Linked DNA regions of Caenorhabditis elegans. The protein of the gene in region 2 interacts with the protein of the main gene of each other region in a pairwise test. Each region holds a gene or a part of one and is shown on either strand. Other genes may lie near its edges.

The links. Proteins that work in one complex are often made in the same cells at the same time.
Region 1: the proteins of madf-5 (region 2) and gsk-3 interact in a two-hybrid assay, tested with the Caenorhabditis elegans proteins (one large-scale study listed by BioGRID).
Region 3: the proteins of madf-5 (region 2) and tbx-9 interact in a two-hybrid assay, tested with the Caenorhabditis elegans proteins (one large-scale study listed by BioGRID).

What each region holds. Positions count from the first base shown.
Region 1 is NC_003279.8:12,817,644-12,825,215, reverse strand, and holds the start of gsk-3 (Glycogen synthase kinase-3), read right to left. Parts: upstream 6,001-7,572; 5' UTR 5,855-6,000; coding exon 5,762-5,854; intron 4,682-5,761; coding exon 4,413-4,681; intron 3,567-4,412; coding exon 2,990-3,566; intron 1,098-2,989; exon of another isoform or gene 1,044-1,097; intron 701-1,043; coding exon 551-700; 3' UTR 1-550.
Region 2 is NC_003280.10:14,572,040-14,577,065, reverse strand, and holds madf-5 (Alcohol dehydrogenase transcription factor myb/sant-like protein), read right to left. Parts: upstream 3,452-5,026; 5' UTR 3,421-3,451; coding exon 3,119-3,420; intron 2,850-3,118; exon of another isoform or gene 2,657-2,849; intron 2,579-2,656; coding exon 1,873-2,578; intron 1,259-1,872; coding exon 1,157-1,258; intron 1,103-1,156; coding exon 941-1,102; 3' UTR 505-940; downstream 1-504. Other genes in the region: C01G12.13 (uncharacterized protein), read right to left, coding at 19-109.
Region 3 is NC_003281.10:10,339,506-10,343,691, forward strand, and holds tbx-9 (T-box transcription factor tbx-9), read right to left. Parts: upstream 2,354-4,186; 5' UTR 2,347-2,353; coding exon 2,054-2,346; intron 1,629-2,053; coding exon 1,553-1,628; intron 1,496-1,552; coding exon 1,343-1,495; intron 917-1,342; coding exon 560-916; 3' UTR 501-559; downstream 1-500. UniProt on the Caenorhabditis elegans protein: Transcription factor. Involved in the control of early morphogenesis of the intestine, hypodermis and body-wall muscle. Involved in regulating expression of vab-7. Appears to have partially redundant function to tbx-8.

The sequences.
Region 1 (7,572 bases), on a different chromosome or scaffold from region 2:
GTACAGAAGTCGCGGATTTTTTCAGGCCTTTGGGCCTAGATGAAGTCCTAAAAAATTGGGCCTCAAAAATTAGGCCAAAGGTTTAAAAAACCCAAAATTTTTGGCCTAAAACCCAATTTTCAGCCAAAATTTCAGGAACCTTGAAAACCTAATTTTTAGCCAAATTTTCACAGAAAAATCCAGGGGGGAGCCAGGTGGGGTAAAAAAAAAAGAGTAAAAATTCAAGTTTTTCGAGACAAAAAAGCTTGAGGGGACAATAAAATAAAATAAAAGAAGAGCAGCAGACAATCGAGTTGGGGGGAAATGCTTCTACAACACAGTTGCTATGGAGACGATACGGGCGATGGAGGGGGGTGGGGGGGGGAGGGCTCAAAAGAAAAAATAATAATTTTTTTCTTAATGATGATAGGTATGGAGAGAGAGAGAGACAGAGAGAGAGGAGAGGATGGATGTATAAAATCAATGGAAAAGAAAAATCCCACGGAAAATGAAAAAAAAAGAAACATTCGAGAGAAAATTCAGAACCAATATTAAAATAAAAAAAAGAAGTTTAAGCCGATGGGCCAGCCACATCACCGCTTGTCGTTGAAACTTCACCAGTTCCCATTGGACCGTCCATCTCAAGTGTTGGAAGAGGTCGACCAGATGGAAGACGTGCATCCGGGTTTCGGAGCTCATCAAAGAATGCGTGCTGGCAGGCCTGAAAAAGACGAAAAACATATATATATTGGTTGAATTGTTAAAGTAGCGTGAATTGGGGGCGATTTTGTCTCTCAAAAATTTCAAAATACAGTCTCAAATTCAGAAAAACGAGCAAAATCGATATTTTTGTCCATTGTGAGTTCCAAATTCCCCATGTTTGAATCCACGTGGAGTCAGAAAGTCCCATTTTGATTTGATCTACGAAAAATGCGGGAGATGAGACGCAAACATCTCAACTGATTTCACATGGTTAAAAGCGTGCAGACGTTACAATTTTTCTGGGAAAAAATTCCCGCATTTTTTGTAGATCAAAACGCAGACAATTCCCTCCAAAATGCAAACTCCCCAATCGATCAATCAACGACATCGAACTCCGCCCACTTCATCTGATTGGTTGAAAAGTGGGCAGGACGAATCGCTGATTGGTCGGGAAGTTCTCGTTTTGGAGGAAATTCAAAATGGAAATTTAAAATATACTAGTTAGTCACAATAGGGAAAATCGTGTTTTCGAAAGTTGAATTGTTCATTTTTCTCGATTTTGCTCGTTTTTTGTGGTTTTTCTAAATTTAAAAGTGTTTTCAAGCCAATTTTCTAATTTTCAACCATCATACCACGTAAATGTCTCCATCTTTAAAATTACGAGAACATCATAATTTTCTGGAAATCTCATTTGTAGTATGGCCTCTAATATTCTTGCAGTTGACATTTAGTTACTAGTTTCAAAAAATAAAAGTACGGATAAATTGTGAGCCGAGTTTTTTACTGCTCACTGCTTGTCAGCGAGTTCTATAAAAATTCCAAGAAACATTTCTTTCCAAGTTTTAGCTGAAATTTTGTTAAATTCAAGTTGAAATTTCAGTGGGATTTTCAATTTTTATGTCTATTTCAGATTTCACTAACTTTGAATTTATAGCTTTTTTTTCAAAATTAAAAACCACGGTTTCACAAGTTATCTTTTTCCAAAAATTGGAAAAAAAAGCCAAAATTCTGCAATTTTTTTTGTGTAAAAATCTAATGCTCCCATCTGCTTCCATAAATATCTTCCATATTCGTGCCAATTTGAGAAATCTAAGAAAAAAAACCGGGAAATGGCTTGATCTATGGGAGAATTACAATGAGGAAACAAAGATTTCAACGATAGATATTAAGGCGATTTTCAAAAGCAACCAACGAACGGGGTGGACTTTCTAAGCGGTTTTGTGAGGGGGCGATCGAATTTGTGAACAATGAAGATACTTTTTTTTGGAAAAATACAGATAAAATCATTGAATTTCGTTTCAAACTGGCTGCTTTTTTTTTGAGCGATCGAAAATCTGCAAAATCTGCAATTTTCAAAATGGAGGAAAAATAAGCTGACCGAATGGCCGAAATTTTTTAAATAAATTTTCAGTCAACTGTCTAATGTCTCAAAAATCACACTCAACTTTCTCTTTTTTTTTCATTCATATTACGGGAACCGAAAATTCTGAGAAGAATGCGTATTACACATCATAATTGACGCGCAAAATATCTCATTGCGAAAACTACAGTAACCCTTTAAATGGGTACTATAGCTCCGTGTGGCGATTTACGGGATTGATTTTCGATATGAATCTATTCTATATTTTCCTTCGTTTCTTCGTATTATTGTCTCATTTTTTGATTAATAAATGCAGAATAAAAATCGAGCCCGTAAATCGACACAAGCGCAGCGCTACAGTAGTCCTTTAAAAGGTTACTGTAGTTTTCGCTACGATATATTTTGCGCATCGAATATGTTTTTTTAAGGATTTTGTGTTCCATAATAACTTTTGTGAGCAAAAATTCGCATTTTTTGAGAATAAAATTACAGAACATTCGCTTTCAAAACCGAAAAACAAAAAAAAAGTCCATTTTTAGACAATTTCAATAATTTTTTGACACAATTTTAATATAAGTTTTGTTTTTCCATTTTCAAGTGTTTTTAAACGTTAAAAACTACCGGAAATCAGTTTTTGACATTTTTTGTGCAATTTTCGCCATTTTAATTATCTCGATAAAAAGTCGAAAAATTCAAACTTCCATTAATTTTTAGAGATTTTTCTCATAAAATTGTAAAATAGCCAAAATGATTAAAATTCCTGAATTTCGCAGTATTTTTTAAACTTTTGGGCAATTTTCTCAAGTTTTCAATGACAAAAAATCAATTTTTTTCAATTTAAAAGGTTTTTAGTTGAAAAAAGAGTCGATTTTCAGCAATTTAGTGTTGGGAAAACATTTTTAATTCATTTTTCGGCCTTTTTTCTACAAAAACCCCCAAAAAACTCACCGCTTGAGGTGTTGGCCGAGACGTCGGCGTATACTCGATAATCTTCGAAATGAGATCAATCGCTTCAGCAGGCGTGTGTACACGGAATACCTTATTCCATGGATGTGCCTTTATCTGTGGAAATTTGAATTCCTTGTAGTTCGGATTCATACTTTGAATTTGTTCACGAGTCGGTGTTCCAAGAACTTTAATAATTTCAACGAGTTGATCAACTCCAGAGTCACCAGGGAAAATTGGTTGGCCGAGAAGAAGCTCTGCCATTACAGTTCCAGCCGACCAAACGTCAATCGAGTTCGTGTAGTTTGTAGCGCCGAAAATGAGCTCCGGAGCACGATAATATCGCGAGCAAATGTACGAGACGTTTGGCTCATTGCGAACCAAATATTTGGCAGATCCAAAATCACAGAGCTTAAGCACTCCGCTTTCCGGGTCAATGAGCAAATTCTGAGGCTTAATGTCACGGTGACAGATTCCAATGCTATGAATGTAGGCCAATGAACGGAGAAGCTGATACATGTACAATTTGACATAAATCATTGGAATTTGTTGTCGCTGCTTCGAATAGTGCCGGGCAACTCTGCAAAAATTAAAAATTTCAAATAAATTTCGCAAAACATCAAGTTTTTTTGTTTAAAAATCGATTTTTCTAAATTTTTTCAATTTTTACATAATTTTTTCCATAAATTTTAGTCAAAAATTGTCAAAAAAAAATTTCTAGGTTTTCAACTTGAAAATTCAAAATTATAAAAAAATAGAATATTTTCAATTTTGTAAAGAATTTTGCAAAATTTCAAGTTTTTTTGTTTTAAAATCGTATTTTCTAAATTCCAAGCTATCAGCCATGTAGTTTGTAGCCTTTCTATACGTTTGGAACGCATTTTTGAACTTTTAAATAGCTTTTTACATAAATTTCAGGAGGAAATTCGTGAAATAGTGCATTTTAGTCAAAAATGTTGCAAAGAAATCTGCTTGAAATCGCCCTGTAGCGCTGGAATTCGGGAAAAATCAATTTTTATCTTAAAAAATCAAAATTTAGCGAAAAAATTCAATTTTCGAACCAAAATTTCACAAAATCGACGGAAAATCAAATTTCCATGAATTTTTGTCAGAAATTAACAAAAAAGGTTAAAAAAATCAGGCATTTTTTGATTATTTCCTTTAAAAATTTACATTAACATCATTTTTAAACAGTTTTTCACAAAAAAAAACATAAAAATTCAGCTTTTTATTGAATTTCTACTATTGTTTTTCAAAATTTTTAAAAATATCTTTAAAAAAGAAATTCGCAATTTTTATTTAAAAATTTCCAAAAAAATTTTTTTTTTCAATTTTTAAATAAGAAATTCTCTTTATTTTTGAACAAAAAAATTCCGCTAAAAACTGAAATTTTCCAGAAATTTTTAAAAATCCTAATAAAAATAACCTGTAGACAGTTTCAGGAACATATTCGAGAATCAAATTCAAGTAGAGTTCATCCTTCTTCTCGCCGCTCGAATAGAAAAAGTATTTGAGCTTCACGATATTTGGATGATTCAATTTTCGCATAATCTGTAGTTCACGATTCTTGAATCGTTTGTCCTGAAGAACTTTCTTGATTGCAACCATTTCATTTGTTGTAGAGAGTTTGGCAAGGAATACCACTCCGAATGATCCATTTCCAATCACTTTCTGATCGTAGTACGAGATTTCAACCTACAATACATTTTTTTTTAATTAAAATTTGAATTACAGTGTTTTTTTTCGTTTGGAGATTTTTTAATAATAATTTTTTCACATTTTATCAGCTAGTTTTCCAGCAAATTTCCTTTTTTTTTTTTTGAAGAAATTGATATTTTAAGTGCTTGAGTAAAATCGTGTACTCCACGAGGAAAAGGAGAACAATTTTGTCAACCTATTTATTACGTGTTTATCCACAGATGAGAAAAATCGCCATATCTGCCGCGCAAATGAACCCGCGGGAAGAGATAAAACTACTGTAGTTTTTAACCAATTTGTGTAGATTTACGAGCTATTGCGTCATCGTTGAATTTAATTTGCAGGCGTTTTTCTAATTTTTTTGTGTTTTCTTTTAAGATTTATTCAATAAATAGATAAATTTCAATATAAAAAAGAGTGAAACACGCCTGAAAATTAAAAATTGCGGCTCAAAATTAAATTCAACGATGACGCAATAGCTCGTAAATCTACACAAATTGGTTAAAAACTACAGTAGTTTTGTCTCTTCCCGCGGGTTCATTTGCGCGGCAGATATGGCGATTTTTCTTATCTGTGGATAAACACGTAATAACTCATTTATTGTGTTGTACTAAATATCGAAAAATATATTTGTATCACTTCCAAAGAGTTTTTTTTTGTGAAAATCCTCATTTTCATGCATTTCCACCAGAGGTGGGCGGATATTTTTTCGGATATTTTCTAATAATGAATTTATCAATAAGTATTGATGTAGTTATTCTGGAAGAAATGTATCCGAACAAAAGAGTAACTATTAAGCAATCGGATATTACGGATATTACGGATATCGGATAATGGACTTGCATATCGTTTATACAGAAAACTTGTAGAATTTTTTTAGGTTTTATCATATTAAAATGTTGCTTAATAGTTACTCTTTTGTTCGGATACATTTTTTCCAGAATAACTACATCAATACTTATTGATAAATTCATTATTAGAAAATATCCGAAAAAAATACCCGCCCACCTCTGATATCCAACTTCTTTTCATCCAAATTTCTCCGAGAAAATTAAAATTTCCTCACTCAAAACCAACCTGCTGATCAACACCATCCGTGGCGACTGACGCGACGACCATCGTCACTTGTTTTCCGCTTTTCAGCGAGCACGATAGTAACTGCTTATTCATCACACCACACTACTGATTGATTTGATTCTTGTGTGTGTGTGTGTATATATGAGCTCTGTCCAATAAATGAGAAGAGCCAGAGATTAGATGATGAGGATATGATGTGGTTTTTTGAGAGGGAAAACGGAGAGAATGAGGCTATTCACCTGAAAATAAAAAATAATAAAATATTTCATTTGGGCGTTGGGTTTGAAAAATACGAGGAAACGTATAAAAATGGGTGATATTTAAGGCAAATATGAGGTGAAATGGAGTAACATTTCAAAATTCGATAAACTTTTAGGAATTCCTAGCCAAAGTGGGAACAGGGGTGGGCGGCAAACGACTTTTTCTGGCAAATCGGTAAACCGGCCAATTTCCGACGAATCGGCAATTTGTCGAATTTGTAGGACTATTAAAGAGCTGTTAAATATGGATTTCGCCAAAAAACTTTACTGGAAATTAGACGATTTTTGGCATTTTCAGCCCATTTTTTTAGGATTCGCTTCAAAAAATCCAAAATAGTCGTAGGGGAGCTCTCATTTTGGAGGATATTCAAACTAGAATAGAATTTAGCCAAAAATTGAAAAAATCGAAGTTTTAAAAGTAGTATTTCTCAAAACTTCTAAAGTTTTTTCTAAAGCTTAATGTAATGTTATTAGCTCGAAAAAGTTGGCTAACTCACTGTAATAAAAGGGAAACGCCAAAACTGCCAAATTTTTAAATATAGAAATGAATTTTTTGAATTTTAAAATTAAAAAAAGGGAAGTAAAATCTAATCCGACACGTTTTAATGTACGTTTTTTTCAAAATAAATAAATACATATTCATTCGAAATTGAATTTTTCTAAATTTAGCGGCAATAAAAAATATATTTCTAGAAGAAACTATATTTTTGGTACTTATGGGTTTCGTTCCCCCCAAAATGATTTTTAATTATTCAACACTACCTTTTTAATTTTAATCCACACGTTATTGTTTATTTTAATACTGTTTTCATTTTTACAAGGCTTAGAAAATCATTTCCCTAAGCCTGGGAATGAAAAAAAAGTTCACGTATCAATTAGAAAATATGGAAATCATTTTGGGGGGAACGAAACCCATAAGTACCATATTTTTTGATTTGGAATTGATATAATTGCTATTTTCGTAAGTATTTCAAAATTCTGACTGAATCAAAATAAAATGCTTCAATTGCTCATCTTAAAATAGCATGTAAGCCCATTTTGCTACACAATTTCAAGAAATTTCACTAGCGCGATCGAAATAACCAGTTTAATAGGAAATTACTCATATTTTCAACGGAAAATGCTCAAAATCGCCAAAACTCACCGCTTCTCACTAACGATTGAACGAAAAATGACTAAATTTCGGTGTTGTTTTTTTTATTTTAAAAAACTAATCCAACACGTTTTAAAAATAAATAGAATTGCTTTTTATATAAATACAAAAATACATTTTATTTCAAAATTGATTTTTTCCAATTAAATTTCGTGGCAATAAAAAGGTACGTATTTTTTTAAAATGTTGTTCCTTGGGAAAAATCAAAAAAGATTTTGGCTAAACAGGATTCTATATTGATCGTAATAGGGAATATATAAATATATATACCGGAAAACTGGCAATTGTCGTTCGGAAAATTGTTTTCCGGGAAACTGCCGGTTTGCCAGTTTGCCGGAAATTTTCATGTTCGGCAAATTGCACAATGTCAATTTGCCGAACATCAATTTGCATATATG
Region 2 (5,026 bases):
ACATTAATCCTAACCTGCCCTCTTTCGGTTTCCCTTTCAGACAATTTGAGGTTATAGTCATGAAAAACATGATCGCGCAGATGACGTTGTAGAATAATAATTGATACATTGTGCAACTTTAATTGACCGGTTGGAAAGTTGAAACAAATTGTTGGAAATAATTCATTTTGCATGGAAGATGTTATCGGTTGAAATTGTGGAAGTTCACGTGAAGGAAATTTTTGGAAAAAATGTGGGAAAAATTACAAAATATATTTGATATGATAAAACTTCTGAAAAATGTCTGAAATATTTGGGCAAGAACTTCTGAAAAAAAAAAAAATTTTCGGAAGTTTTTTAAAAACTCCTTTAAAAAACTAGAGTTATCTAGCTGTTTCCAGAAAGGTCTAGCAAATAAAAATTCCTTCTTCTCCAAAAATTAACAATTTCAGGAAAATCTCCAAAATACACAGAACAATTCAGAATCCGCGAGTCGGAGGGAGCACGCGCTCTGTCCAAAACCAAAAAATACACGTTTATTATAAAAAAATCGTGGTACAAAAATATACAGGCAAGATGATGGTGTTTGTAGAGACTAATTTCAAAAAATAAAAAAAATGCTGAAATTATGGAGGGAACAAAAGAAAAGTGAAAGAATTGCGCACTGACTAGACCGACGGGGAGTGAGAATACACTAAAAACTAGTTTTTGAACATTTTTCGTTTTCTACATTTAATAAAATGAGGAGAGCACCAATAAGAAAACACAAAATAGATATTTTGAAAAATAAAGGAAGTGTTTTTTCAATGTTACAGTAGCCTACCAGAATTTAGGTCTCGACACGAAAATAAATTATGCGCCTTTTAAACCGATCAGGCATATTTTTGCATTTTAGCTTGAAGGCGCAAATCATTTTTTCGTGGGGGGGGGGACCCATATACTACAAACAAAAGACTAATTTTCAAGCCGTTGGAATTTCATTTGCCGTTGGCTCAACTGCGCAATCTTCATCGTGCTCTCCGGTTGGACTATGTGCTGATGGACTGCTACAAGAGTCATCATTGTCTACAATATGGTGGGTGTCATCGGTTTCGTCCAGTAGTGACATTATTTGGTGACGGACCTGAAAAAAGTTGGAGTCTGAACTTGTTGAATATATCTGAAAACAATCTCTCACCTTTTTCCGTTTTTTCGGGTCCATTTTCTTAAGCTTCAACCCAATTATCCGGCTGTACAATAAATCCTCATCATTGAGCCATTCAAGAGCAACCCGACCGACCTGGAAAAAAGTTATATTATTCTAGAAATTCTTTCTTAAAATTTCTAATGTAGGAACACGTTATAAATTTTTGAAATTTGCTGAGAAAAAATCCTAATTTTGGTAAGAAAATCCAGAAACTTCGATTTAAAAATCTCTTAAAACTTGAAATAAATATTTAAATTCGAAAAATTTTTTTTAACTAGAAACACTTAAAATGTTTCCGAATATATTTTTTTAATAAAAATTAAATTTTAATAATCTAGAAAGTAATTAAATGTAATTCAGAAAACCAAAAAAAAATTCTGAAAATTATACACTTCAACCTTCAAAAAATCATTCCGAAAAGTTCATTAAAAAATTTTTTAACTTTAACATTTTTTCTTGAAAATCACTAAATTTTCCGAAAAAAGGTAACATTAAAAAAAACAGAACTAAATCCGAAGTTTCCAAGAATTCAGCAAACTATTTTCAATCGCATCTAATATTTTTTACAAAAAATCTAGAATTTTTTTTTAATTTAAGAAAGTTTCAGAGAAATTATTTTAAAAAAATCAAAAATCTCCAAAAAATCCAGGAAAATCACGATCCTTCCGAAAAAAATTTTTTTTACCAAATGTTCCAAACCCGCTCACCTGTTGCAAATGATATCTCATAACATTATCCGCAGTCTGCTGCCTATGCCTATTCCTCGCCGCCTCTTTATAAGGATGGAAGTGGCTCGTAGTGGACGCGGTTGGCGGTGGTGTTGAAGGTCGGAGCGGCGGGATCGCTGCCTCCTCGGATTTCCTGGCTCCATTGAGCATTGAACTCATCCCAGTGAGCTGTGCAGCAAGATGGTGTGCAAATCTAGCCTGATTCGCTGCTATGAGGGACTCCACTGATGGTTTCTGTGGGGTCTGTTGGACCTGCTGGACCTGTTGAGCCTGCTGAGTCTGCTGTTGGCTCTGAGCACTTATAGCCTCCTTGAGCATCGCCATAGCTTCGGATTGACTTTTCACCTTTTCTGGGCCATCTTCCTCTACTTCATCTTCATCTTTTATTTTAAGATCTTCCTCCTCATCTCCATCCCCATCAACTCCATCTAGATTTCCATCGAGACTTTGAGTTCCAGATTCATCATTTTCAATTTCAGGGGATATACTGTCCAATCGTTGGGCGGTTTGTGCAAGTAGTCGGTCTAAAACCGAAGATTCGAGTGCTGGATCACTATCATCATCTTCCATCTCGTCTTTTATTGAATTTAAATTTGGAAAACCGAACCAGCTGAACGGTGTGCCTGATGGCTCATCAAAAGAGTCAGATTTACCAGTTTTTTTGCCTTCATCTGCTGCTTGACCACTGCAAAAAATAGACTTTGAAGATGAGAATTTTAACTTATAATCGCGGAGTTCTAAATTATTATTTTTTACTTTTCAGATTCTTTTTGATATATCTTGAATTAATTTTTTGTAGAAAATTTTAATTTTTTTTCAAAATATTAAATTTCGAATCGATCAGTTTTTTGTCGATAAATTGTTTTTTTTTTAATTTTTATAATTTTTAATTTAAGAAAAAAAAGAATTCTGGAATTTTAATTAAATGTTTTAGTATTTTTGAAGTTTTTTTTTGAATTTGATTTTATCTACAACTTTTGATTTTTTAATGAGATTTTTCAAATTTTTTTTTCTGAATTTTTGAAGTGTTAATTTAGACTCTTTAGATATATTTCAAATTAGGTGAACTTATTTTTTAAATTTCAGTTTTTTGTTTTGATATGCCTACAAACCAAAAATTTCGCGGTTTTTCAACAAAAAAATATTAGAAAAAATATTAAAAAATTAGCTTTGTGATGGCCAGAAAAAAACGAGTTGAAAAATAATTATGAAATTCAATTCTTACATATTATCCTTCAAAAACGGGTCCAACCACGATAATTGATTAAAATAACACCATCTAACAGGTGTCACAAATCCATTTTTAATTGCAATCTTTAATTCTTTCCGATATCGATCCCTCAGCTGCAACCATCGTTTCTTCGCAAACTCTGCCGCACAATTCGGGTCAATATTTTTGGCGATTGATTCCCAAAGTCGTTGACGTTCCATTGTGTCCCCGCTGCCACGTCGTGAATGATTATATAGGCACGGGTACTTACGAACCTCGTTTATCAGACGGGCGTTAAACGCCGGCTGGAAGGCCATCTGTTTGAGTGGATTTAAATTTAGAAGGGGTCTGAAACGGAAAAATTTGAGATTTTTAGAAAAAAAAGGCTAAGGGGAGTCAGAAGCTGGGATAATCTAGAAATGGAAAAAAGGAAATAAGACATAAGAATATATATATATATATACATATATCCGTTTTTTGTTTCAAATGTTGAATTATTTTTGAAAATTATTCTTTTAACTATTTTAATTTGGAGAAATGTAGAAAAAATTGTGTAATTAAAGGGAAATTTTAAAATATTCATATTAAAAAATTGTTAATTTTTGTTTAAAACATTTTCAAAAGATTAATATTTGCAAAACCCAATTTTAAAAAATCTTAAAATTTCTAAAATCAACACAAAAAAATATTTTTTGAATTTTCAGTTAATGTTTTTTAAATCAAAATTTTTCTGAAATATTTCTGATAACAAAATATTGAAAACTGGTACTTTTAAAAAAGAGAATTTCAAAAAAATTTAAATCAAAACATTAATTTTGTCGAATGCCGAATTGTTTTTCAAAATCATTTTCAGATTTAAAAATTTTCTGGAAACTTTAAATTGTGAGATTTTTTAATAATCTAGATTATAACTTTCTGAAATTGCAGAAGGTTACGTTTTAGTACTTTAAAACAAAAATCTTTTTAAAAAAATATTTTAATTTTTTTGTCAGAAATTTAAGTAAATTTTGGCAATCTGCCAAAAAAATCTCTGTAGATCATGCAGAGGAATCTAGACACAAAAAGCCAAAAAGCCTGAGTGTGTACTACGACATGGTTAGTCTTCCAAAATGTAATAAAAAGTTTACACACTCTTTCGTGTCATTTCTCTCTTCTTCAATTCCATCTAAATCTCATGATAAACTACCGTAAGACACAATTGAAATGGTTTAGACTGAAAATCTAGGAGAACCGGTAGTATGTGTGGGTGGAGATGGAGTAGAAGAAGAAGGGGAAGAAGCTCTATGTTTTTTCCGGTGCAGGAAAATTGGAAAATTGGGGGATATTCGGTTTTTTATTTTGCTTTTAGTTGAAGCTTTAAGCGGAATTGGGAATGAAAATTAGAGGGAAATTGGTTGACGAAAGTTGCACAAAGTTGATGAAAATTGGTGATAGTATAGCGAAAGTTAAAATAGACTGAAATTGAACAAAAGTCTGCCAAAGATCTACCACAAGTTTGAGAAAAACGCAACTTCTTGAAAAACACTGGTGAAAATTGATGAAATTTTGGCGAAGGTTGGTCGGAGTTCGTAAAAACCTTGCGGGGATTGCTGAAAGTCTAGAAAAAATTAACAGAAGTTGGCAAACGTTGCTCAAAATGTCGAAGATCTGATAACAGTTGCAGAAAATTGTCGTAGATTCAGAAGAAGTTGTTTCTTGCCGAAAGTCTAGCGACAGTTCGCGAAAGTTGTTTTTAAAAAATATTGAAAGTATAGAAACAATTCAAAAAAGTTGGTCAAAAATTGAGCAGCAGTTTGGAACTATTGCAATTGCTTTTTGAAAGTTGACAAATGTCTAACGAAGGTTGGCGAAAGTTGGCAAAACTTTAGCAAAATCTGATAAAAAGGTATGGATTGTTGTAAAAATAGATAATTCGGGAAAAAT
Region 3 (4,186 bases), on a different chromosome or scaffold from region 2:
AAACTACAGTAATTCTTCAAAAGACTACTGTAGCGCTTGTGTCGATTTACGAGCTCGATTTTTGAAATGAATCAGACTAGAAGAAAAGGAGGAAAATATTGAACATCAATTGAACATCAATTCAAAAAGTCGAACCCTTGACTACAGTAGTCTTCTAAAGAATTACTGTAGTTTTCGCTACGAGATATTTTGCGCGTCAAATATGTTGCGCAATACGCATCCTCAGAATTGTGTGTTCTCGTAATGTCTTGAAAATTTTCCATTTCAACATCAAATAAGCAAATCTAAAAATGTGGGTTCTGCAGCGACCACTATGACTGTGATCGTGGCAAGACCCACTCAGAAAACTACGTGTTCCTTTAAACAATACATTTTTAAGTATTGTAGGTATAAAAATTGTTGGCTAGCAGTCTAGGCTGCCTTTTTCAGTCGACAAACTTCTAATTTAATCGGCGGGTCTTCAAAAAGTCGTTTCTTTGAAAATATAAAGCTTTATATATTTATATATTAAAAATTTTGATTACATGATATCAAAAGCGACCAGTTTGCATAAAAATTATCAACCAACAATATCAATATCTTCTTCTACCTCCTGATCCTCCTCCTTCACAATGCTCAGCTCACTGCTCGAGCTGGAAGGAGTCGACGGGAGAGGCGAGAGAAATGGAAAAGCGAATGGAAATTGGACTGGAAGATTTTCAGATAACATATGGGGAAAATAAAAAAGAAATGGGTTGATTGGAGGCATCGACTGAAGAGGTGCGACCTCCGGTGGTGATCTGGATTTTGGCGATGGGGACTGTGAGTTGCTGCCGTCGGAATATGATGGTGATCTTCTCTTGCGACTCAAGTTCCCGTCACGGAAACCTTTGGCAAAACTGTTGTGCTTGATTTTCAAGTCGGTGATTTTTTGGTTCTGAAATGAGGAAAAATTAGGTTTATTATTCAACTCTCTCTATCTTTGAAAACAAAGAATCTATTAAGAAATTGTTAAACACCATATTATGGATCACAAAGCGAGCAATATTTTTGTAGTTGACAACTTTTATATAGCTCTTTTTATTGGCGAGGTAGGAGTGCTTAAAGTAGCGCAGTTTCAAATTTATAAATAGAGCCAAATTTTGAGCAAGTGTAACTCTCCTTCTTTTAACTCTATTAAAAACTTGTCAACTAACTAATTAATCTTTACAACTAGGGTTACAAATTATTAGTTAACGACTTCTTGATAAGTATGATGGTTGACAAGACTTCCCCCTTCCTTCCCAGATTTCCCATTGTTCACAAAATATTGATTCTTCCGAGATAAGATCCATGCGCTAATACTCTTACTCTCAATACTAACCTGGTAAGCCGTTACTGCAATAAACTCGGTATGAGGGAATTTGGCGGTGGCGACGATTTGGTTTGAGGATTGTGGGACGCAGAAAGGGCTCTCCGATGGAGACTCGTAGATTGTCAGCACTGGAATGTACTTGTGCATGCTGTTGAGGTAAATCTGAAATTTCAATTTTAAATTGGAAATTGCCAAGTAATTTTAAAGTTGAAATCCTACCATTGAAGCGTTGTTGGACTCTGAATAGTTGGAGATTTTCACACGATCAAAGCAAATCGAACTCCACATCCAGTCACTGAAATTAATTGGGGTTACTTTGAAGATATAAATTTAGCAAATTTAGAATTATTTTCATCTGAATTATGTTGTCAGTTGACAAACGACAAACTTTGAAAACTTTAATGTTAGATGAGATGTAACCCTCAAAATATTCCAAAGGCATTTGAATGCCAGTGTCGGCAGCTCTAACTCTTCAATGGCTCAAGCTAGAAAAAAGTTGTCAACTGGCAAATTGTAGATGATAAATCAGTTAACAATTTTCCAGTTAACATCTTTTTTAAAACTTCCAAGCCCGCTGAGATATGGCGCTTTGAAGTTGTAATACCAGGGCGGAGCTAAAAAAAGTTGCCAATTGACAAAATGGTTCTCACTATTTTGATAATCATGTCAGTTTACAAATCTTCATAGCTTCTAATCTTCCAATTCCTATGTCACACTCACCTTCCCTTCCGAACTCCATCAGCATGCCACATCTTCTTCGCGTCGACCTGCTTCTCAGCTTTGCCCGTTTCCTGCCACTTTCCACCGCTGAACTTGAATCGACTTTCTCCAACTGGTTGTAATTGGAGCATTATTGCATACAGCTTGTTTTCATCAAGCCCTTCGACTATATATTCCAACTTTGGGAACAACTTTCGGCCGTTCTTCGTGACAATCATCTCGTTGACTTCTGCGTGGAATATCTTCCAGAGAGTTTCTTGGGATCCTTCGATTGATACTTTGACTTTGGACATTTTTTGTCTGAAAACGTTAAAATATATTATGAAAACGAACAGCAAAAAAAAAGTTGGAAAATGGTATAAGATATAATGTTATATTCTCACCGGTTTGGCAGCTACACTTGCTTAGAGTGTGGTACCAGTGAGAAGGAGGAGCGGGAAAACTATTCTAACTTAAAAACGGTGGTATCTAGCAAAAAGTTGTTAACTAACAAAGCAACAATGATAAAATTTGCAATATTTTGTTAGTTGACAACTATTTGGTATCTCTTGCCAGTTTTGAGATAACGTCTGAGATATCCCCGCCGTTCAAAAATAAGAAAACAAAAAAATAGAAAAATAAGAAACACGATAAGATAGAGATGTCATCACAAAAAAATGGTGATTTAAGACAAAGAAGTGAGAAATTGTGCACATCTTCACCCCATCTCACCTCATTGCCAAACCACACCCCTCTGCAAGGGCGGGCAGGTTGTGCGCGTGGCCCTCTCGGCTATCGATTCTGGGAAGACTTGGCGGCTGACTGGTAGATCAAAAGAGTTGGGTATACTTTCAAAACAAAATTGGGAGATCAAATTCTGATGTGGCATAGAAATAGAGAAGACGGTCCGAAAATGTTGGTTTTATGTAAACTTCAAAAAATGTTCAAAATTTAAAGATGATACAACTTCCTTATTAATTAAAGAATTATGCTATGTATACCATGCTTATCGACAGTATGGATTTTGTATATTTTTACTTTGAGATCACTTTTCTCAAGAAAGAATGACAGTAAAAATTAATGTAAACTGAATTTTTTTGTACCATATAAAAACCGAAATTTGAAAAAAATAACTTTATTTAATGTTTCAAAATAAAGATTTTACCATTTTACATTTTCATACCTTCCACAATTACCCATTATTCCATCTTCAAACCCTCCTTCTATTTCCAGATAATATACCATTTCCAAGTATACCCCTTTTTTGTCGGTTACCTCCAAAAGAGCATACGTTGTAAAATTTTTGAGCCGGTTAGTTGTAGTGGGCTCTTTTGATAGAACACCGACAGTATTGACTGGAGGTGTAAAAATTGGTAGCTGAAGGAAAATGGATAAAAGAAAACATTGGTTAACGGATCAAAATTATTTTGCATTTTTAGACATAAAGTGATATTAAAAATTCGAATTTCATAACGAATGTTCTAAAACATTGCTCAAAAATATTAGGAAAAACTCTCCAAATTTTGCAGATCCATTAAAATTTCTGAGCAATTTTTGAGCAAACCTTTTAAGTCTATAAGTCAGGATAATTTTGATATATTCGTCTTCCCAAAAGCTATCAAAAAGATGTCAACTTTCAAAAAAAAACTCAATTTTTTTCCGGGGTCTAACTTTTTTGTGGATGCAGCTATCAAAAATTTGTCAACTAACTGATTGTTCATAATTTCCAGAGCTATATTTTGTCAGTTGGCAACTATTCGGTAAACTCGAAGCTTTTCGAGATAATCGTTTCCCAAATTGTTATCTGAACCCAAATTTCTCCGACCCCATTAGCCCCATTTTCCTAGAAAATAAGACTGATCTCCAAAACACCAAAAAAAAAGCTGTAAAACTTTACTCTTCCCAAAACTCTCCGAGTCGGTGTTTTTACGGGGGGTACCTCTAAATCAGGTGGTCGATAAACATCGTGGCGGATTTATAACCTCCACAATTGTTAGTTGGCGTCAATGGATATACAGGTGATAAGGTTTACAATCACTGATTAGTTGTTCTGAATTTTTTTTTCCCAGGAACACAAAAATTGAGGTTTCCTGCTTTTAAAATGTTTTTAAAAACACTAAAACACTTGTTCAAAAAATTTAAAAATCACATTCC